2 linked regions of the Drosophila melanogaster genome follow. The protein of the gene in region 1 interacts with the protein of each later gene in a biochemical or structural test. Each region holds a gene or a part of one and is shown in the gene's direction. Other genes may lie near its edges.

Region 1 (3,524 bases):
AACAAAGTATGTTTTATAATTCAGTTTGTAATGACACCTGGATCTTTTTTTTTTACAAATTTCCACTACACATTTGTTTGAGTATATGCAAGGAATACCCTTAATGAGCAAGCTTTGCGCCAGCGAAAATACAGCCCTGTGTTCCATTCCGCCATTTTTCTATTTTCACGACGGTGGCAATAACGGAACTTGCAATTGCCGCGCGCATTGCGGCGCACTTCACTTAATTTAGTGTCAATCTGTTTGAAGCTAGCAGAAATGAACCACATCATCCAGGACAAGTACATTCCGCAACAGCTGCTCTACTTCTTGGCGGGACGGCGCTGCTGCCAGCAGTTCCCGTGCACATTCCGCACCAGCGAGCACGAAGCATTCGCCAACAACGCCCGCTCCTTGGGGCTGCGATCGCAGGTGGTCCATGTCAACGGGAATAGCTGCGTGAAGGTGTACAAGCAGGCATGTCGCCACTACCTGGAGGAGCCCAAGACGCTGGTTTTGTCCTCGGGCGCTACGCTGAACATGTTTACGCTGCTGAGCAGGAAGTCCTTGATGGGCAAGGAGGATTTGGAGCTTTACGCGGACCTCGTCTCCATGAAGGCCAATGCCTCGGACCTACCGTCACTGCATCTGCCGCTGCCCGCCATACGTCCTCCTAACCTGCGCTTCTGGACGGAGGCGCAGCTGAATTTCCTGACTGCTTTTCTGGGTCACTCGCTGAGCGACGAGATCTTGCAGTCATTGTACGCCAGTCGGGTGATCGTCTATAACGCTGCGCTTTGCTGGGACAAGTCCGTCTTCCTGCCCCTGGTCATTCTGGACGATTGCCGGAACAAGAAGTCCAACGTCAAGATTATGTGCATCGAGCGGCAGGCCATTCTGGCCACCTACAACAGCCAGCGAACGGCCAACTTCTTCGGCGAGCAGCTGGGCGAGACGGTGGGCATCCAGTTGCCGTACTTCAGCGCCGTTAGCTCCAGCACTTTTATTATTTACTCGACGGCGCAGTACTTTTTGCGCTCGCTGACCAGCCAGCAGTTTCGCAACATCAGTCACCTGGTGGTGAACGATGTCCACCTGCATGATCCCTACACCGACATCCTGTTGAGCGAGATACGCATGGCGCTAAGTAGCCATCAGAACCTGAGGGTGGTGCTGCTGTCGCAAATGGGAAACCCCAAGAAGTTCACCGACTTCTTTGGCGAGGGATTGCAACTGAATATGATTAAGCAGCCGGAGGTCGCACCACGTGTCTCCTACTTGAACGAGCTGCACAGCTGCATTGCCCTGGCCGGCATCCACAAGGGTCCGGACATCTACAAGGAGATTCCGGAGGCTTTTCGCGCCAACAATCCGCGCAACGAGCAGATGGACAAGTGCCTGCAGGCCTACGGAGAGTTGGGCACGGACGCCGCCCTACGTCCCTTCCTGTACGCCGTAAACTACGACCTGGCTCCCGTAAACTACCGCCACTCGCTGACCGGCAAAACGGCGGTGCACTTCGCCTCCGAACTGAACAAGGCCAATCATCTGCGCCTGCTGCTCTTCATGGGCGCTGATCCCTACATTGTGGACCTGTTCCAGCAGAACGCCATCTCACTGGCGGCCATGAACGGCAACCACGAGTGCATCGATGTCCTGAACAGCTACAGTCTGCACGGCTATGTGGTGAAGAGCGCCAAGCCGGATTTCGTCGACTATGATCTTATTATCGACATCATGTATCTGCTGCGCACCAAACCGGAGTATTCGCCAGGTGAGTATTCGCCAGGTGTTTGCCAGGTGTTCATGGCTTATAGAACATATTTAGTAAGTTATTAGTCATTAGTTATGGTCAAAAATGGTTTGAATGGGTACTAAGGGTTATATAGGCGAGAAAGGAAGCGGTTAGCAATTATTCAAAATACGATTTGAAAAGTGCGCGTTGGAACGGCTGAGAGTGAATGATTCTGCAAGCTCGTGCGCGATTAATCGCATGAAAATTCGATCTCGCCGCGCAAAAGGTTCCACCCGCAATAGCAAAGCTATCGATAAGTATCGCCTGGCGAGTGGGCATTGTTTTTTATAGAAGCAGCAAGATGAGCACGTACCTACAGAGCAGCGAGGGCAAGTTCATTCCGGCCACCAAGCGGCCGGATGGCACCTGGCGCAAGGCGCGGCGCGTCAAGGACGGCTACGTGCCGCAGGAGGAGGTGCCACTCTACGAGAGCAAGGGCAAGCAGTTCGTGGCGCAGCGCCAGGCCGGAGTGCCGCCTGGCATGTGTCCCCTGCTGGCCGCCGAGTCCAAGAAGGAGCGCGAGAAGCAGGAGCGCACCAGGGCCAAGAAGCAGGAGAAGGAATCCGGCAGGCAGCCAAAGGCGCCGGCGCCCGGCGTCCTGGTTATGCCGCCCAGCACGTGTCCGCCACCCAAAGTCAGTCAGCAGCAGCAGCAGCAGCAACAGCAGCCCTCTGGCAGCCGGGACATCAACTCGATATCCAAGACACTGGAGGACACCCTGAAACTGGACGCCGCCCAGGAGGTGGTGGACCCTGCCAAGCAGTTGAAGAAGCTGCGCAAGAAAATCCGGGAAATCGAACAGATCGAGAGCAGGATCCAGGCCGGCGAGCAGAAGAAGCTGGACAAGGACCAGCTGGACAAGGTGAAAAAGAAGTCAGAGATCCTGCGCCAGATCAAGGACTTGGAGAGCACGCCGCGCTCATAGCCCACTGCTCCAGCTCCAGCTCCAGTCCACTCAGATACTGCTACGAGTATATCCTCTCACCTCGTGAACAAATCACCGACCAGAAGTCGCGCCGCCTCTGCACGAAAGAACACATACATGCCTATGTCTGTTGAATAGTTATATTAGTTTTAGTCGAAGATGTCAAGCCATTTAGTAATATCGATCTATTTTAGTAATGTGTGTCTGTCTTGAAACCTAGTTTATACGAATGGGGAATCGCCGCGTTTATTTATGTATAGGTAACTTTGTAAATCAGATTTAATAAATTAAACCCATTTGAAGCGAAACGCTCACAGGCTGCTCTTTATCATTAACCTCCATGTGGAAAGAATGAGAGAAAGTCTACTACCTTTTTCCTATTTTCAGGCAACATCCTCATCATTTTACCCACCTACTACCACATTGTCAAGCTGAACTACATGATCCTGAGCCACTGCCTCACTGGCAGCCTGCAGGAGTGCTCCATATTCCTGCTGTACGATAACATGAGGAATGACTACCTCCAGGCGTTGGTCAATGCCAGCGATGAGACGGTGAAGGTGGTTCTGGCCACGGATATTATCGAATCGCTCTGCCTGAAGGTGCCGTTCAAGTACCAAATAGACACCGCCTGCCGGCTGAACAATGTTTACGATACCACGAGCTGCAGCGGCGATGATCGCTTCGAATGGGTGGCCAAGGACGCTCTTCTGCGAAGGGAGCTAATCCTTCAGCCCAATAGTAAGTACATAGCTCGTCATACATTGTTAACACTAACTGATGCACTGCGTTTTCCGTAGAAGGGGATGTACAATGCTTCCGTCT
Region 2 (3,703 bases), 2.7 Mb from region 1:
AGATGGCATTACTGCCCGATGCGGCACACTGACGCAGCAGCAACCGGCAGACCCGACGCCACAAAAGGCAGACCGACAAGTGCAGCAGCAGGTTGACGAGGTGGTATCCAAACGGCTCAAGTGCATGCAGCAAGTAGTTGAAGCGGAACGTCAGCACGGTGAGTGGGCGATAAGACTTGTGGGACTGCTCCTTGCGCATCGGCGTCCCCCAGAAGTCGTTCAGGAAAACGTTGATCAGCGGAGTGTGCGGCCTCAGATCCTTGTTGTCCCTGATTGCGCTGATGTCATCGAAAACAAGCCCGCACTGAGTACTGTTGTAATAGCAGACTATGCAGGCTACGCATATACACAGGAACTCGAGCAGGTTGCGCTGCGGCGAGTTTGTGGCTCCTTCCCGCTCCCGTTCCCTCGGCAAAGTGGAGGGTGCATACTGATGGATTCCGGGGTTGGGGTTCGTTGACATGTTGATTTCGCGTTACTTCGTGAAAGGCGTCATGTACCCACAATTGTTCGTTCAGGCGGCGAAATGTTGCATGTAGGGCTTTACCCAGCCACGGTCGGCAGGTCCCTAGATGGCCTGGAAAAAAATGAGAAAGTGGGAAAACCATTAGTTTAAGTTAACTGGAAACTAATTAAGTATACAAGTCCACCAATTTAAGTATAGACACTTCCTATTAGTGAGAAAGCCCCTAAATGTAGGCAACATACATATCTATATATTTTTTTTGAAAGGGGATTCCCCCGAGCAACAAAATTGTGCAGTAATGTATATGTAAGCCCTCGCATCTTTTCTGGATACACACCCAAATCCTCTTACTTTCCATAGTCCTTCATCCGCAACTTACCGATTTTCCCCCAAGTCAAAGTCTTTTTAAAGACAAACTTTCTACCGCTTTTTATGAGCACTTGAAGTTATACAAAGAAGCAAAAACTGATTGCGGAAAAAATCAATTAATACGCAACAAAGTAACTCCTTCCCGGTTACTGTCCTGGTTACCGACTGCACACACAAAAGCCCGAAGTTAACAAAGTTGTAACCCGGGCGGACCGACAGAGCTCCGGATCCGGACTTTGGGTACGCACAAGTACAAGTATGCGGACGGAGAGCGCTTTTAGAGAGGCGAAGAGCGCGTGAGAGATTTGTTTGCATAAACTGTTGTAAATGTTGCGGGACCTGGAGCATTACTAGGCGGGGCACATCGGTGGGCAGATGGGCGGATGCCACAATGTTGCACTCAATGCCATCGATTTTCCGGGCGTTCAGTCAAAACAAACCACCACAAGCGAAGTAAGCGCTCGTAAAGAGCGAAAAAAGGGGCCTAGCTTCAACGGGAGCTGGAGAGGATTGCATCTCAGCTGAGCGCAACTTTGTTGCACGACCGACTTTTCCCGAAGGACGACCGGGCGGGCACGTGCTCCGTTTACCCTTATTCCATTTTCCCGCCAAGAGCGACACATGCGCGGTCCCGCATCCTTGCACTTTCACTTGCCAGGACGTGCGCTCTCCGTGCTCATGGCTCTCCCGCTCGCCGAGCGCAAATTAATGGCCGTGTGTGTTTTTGTAAAATTACTTTGACCGAGATACGGGGCACTGGAGAAGGATAAGGACATGGCGATGGCTATGGGCGCTGGAACCGGAGAGCCAGCCGCATGTCCTCTCCCATTTTAGTGACATGGACGCCATTACAACGGCGATGGCCTCGCACACGCACACAATCACACGGCCGCAAACAAACCCGATTTGCCAACTTTGTTTCAATTCGCCAATAATTACAATGTTGCCCAGCGAGTTTCGAGCACCGTTTAACAGATGGGTTCTCACACACCGCCCTGTCGTTCACATACTTGTTGAGGTAGTTCCATGGCATCCAAAACTGAATTACATTTTAATAAAAATCAGTGCCAAATGCGCGACTTGTACGTGGATTATTGTTGTGTTATCGATACGCCGATAGGCTGGCTTCTCTTCCTCATCCCTGCCAGCCATTCGCAGCGAACACTTATCGATACGCGGTGATAGTTATTCCGTGTGTTTTCCCATCTCTAACGCGTTGTAGTAAAGGAAAAAGAGTGGGAAACCAAAAATTGATATTTTTCTGAAAGTCTTTCAAAGTTACGCTTTAAACTAGAAGCAATCATGTCCACGGAGGACTTTTACCTACGCTACTACGTCGGACACAAGGGCAAGTTCGGGCACGAATTCTTGGAGTTCGAGTTCCGGCCGGATGGCAAGCTGCGGTACGCCAACAACTCCAACTACAAGAACGACACCATGATCCGCAAGGAGGCCTTCGTCCACCAGTCCGTGATGGAAGAACTGAAGCGAATCATCATCGACTCGGAGATCATGCAGGAGGACGATCTGCCCTGGCCGCCACCAGATCGCGTGGGTCGACAGGTCGGTTTGCCGCACTCCGTAACTAGAGCTCAACTAAACAACCATGTGTCTTTTTCAGGAACTGGAGATCGTCATCGGAGACGAGCACATCTCGTTCACCACCTCGAAAACGGGATCATTGGTGGACGTGAACCGGTCAAAAGATCCCGAGGGCCTGCGATGCTTTTACTACCTGGTGCAGGATCTCAAGTGCCTGGTCTTCTCACTCATCGGCCTGCATTTCAAGATCAAGCCCATATAAGCCGTAGCCACCACCTCAAGCATAGCCTATTTATCGGACGGACACATCGTATTTTATAATGGAACTTCTACGATACTTGTAATTGTATAAGCTATACCTTTGTACTTTTTGGTACAGTTTGCAGTGAATAAAAAAGGATTGGAAGATACTTTGTTTTCAAAGTCTTGTGTACAGTCTAGATTGTGCTATAGAAGTAAATAGCAAATCTTCGATGTAGTAGCAGACAACAAGTTTAACAATAATAGCAAACACAATAGTAAACCATTTAACTTTTGATGTTATAATGTGTAGGTATATTTGAAAAATACAATTTAATATCTATTGTGTTTGAATAATATACATACTCGAGATAAAAATTTAAAGTCCTTTACATTTGTACAATTCGTATATGTCTAAAACAGCTTAAGCTAAGTGATTAATATCTCACAAACTGGCAAATTGTCTTAACGTTTAAGTACAAGCAGTAACTTAGCCTAAGATAATGATCGGTATCTTAAGAAACTGGAATAAAATACGCACTCACATACGGTTTTGAGACTTGCAAAGGGTTTGGCTTACATATGCTACTAAATTCAGTCTTTGGGGTGAGTACTTTGCTAACGAAAGTACAAACTAAGGGCCTGCAGGCGATGCAACACTATAGAAAGCTCTTATAGAGCCGAATGCGTAGGTCTCAGAGTCATAATTGTGGCTGCTGATGCAGCGCCAAAGTGGCTGAGATATTGTTACTGGGTCGCTCCAAATAGCTGCCATGTCCTGGCACGGGCATTGACATTGGCATCTCAAGATGCTGGTGGTGGTGATTCAGCTGCGCTTGCTGTAGATGCTGCTGCGGAAGTTGCTGCTGGTGGGAGAGTTGTGCCTTCAGGAGACTGGGAGATGCCTGCAGCGGAGTGTTGCTGGACACACCGACGCTACTGCCGCCAGGACTGGGACCACCCTCCTTCAGCGGAACGCCGATAGTGAGACGCACATGAAGACCAGACTCCTTGATGAGATTCACTACATCGCCGTGCGACATGCCAGCTATCTCGATGCGGTTTACTGCCACTATGCGATCGCCC

The links.
Region 2: the proteins of Pym (region 1) and mago are reported together in a solved structure, tested with the Drosophila melanogaster proteins (one study listed by BioGRID).

Annotation. Positions count from the first base shown.
Region 1 is NT_033778.4:23,855,434-23,858,957, reverse strand, and holds Pym (partner of Y14 and mago), read left to right. Parts: upstream 1-2,021; 5' UTR 2,022-2,075; coding exon 2,076-2,699; 3' UTR 2,700-3,004; downstream 3,005-3,524. Other genes in the region: bgcn (benign gonial cell neoplasm), read left to right, coding at 259-1,768, 3,087-3,440, 3,500-3,524. UniProt on the Drosophila melanogaster protein: Regulator of the exon junction complex (EJC), a multiprotein complex that associates immediately upstream of the exon-exon junction on mRNAs and serves as a positional landmark for the intron exon structure of genes and directs post-transcriptional processes in the cytoplasm such as mRNA export, nonsense-mediated mRNA decay (NMD) or translation.
Region 2 is NT_033778.4:21,126,557-21,130,259, forward strand, and holds mago (mago nashi), read left to right. Parts: upstream 1-2,020; 5' UTR 2,021-2,137; coding exon 2,138-2,398; intron 2,399-2,456; coding exon 2,457-2,639; 3' UTR 2,640-3,181; downstream 3,182-3,703. Other genes in the region: Tmtc3 (transmembrane O-mannosyltransferase targeting cadherins 3), read right to left, coding at 1-463; magi, read right to left, coding at 3,319-3,703. UniProt on the Drosophila melanogaster protein: Core component of the splicing-dependent multiprotein exon junction complex (EJC) deposited at splice junctions on mRNAs. Involved in exon definition of genes containing long introns, including the rolled/MAPK gene.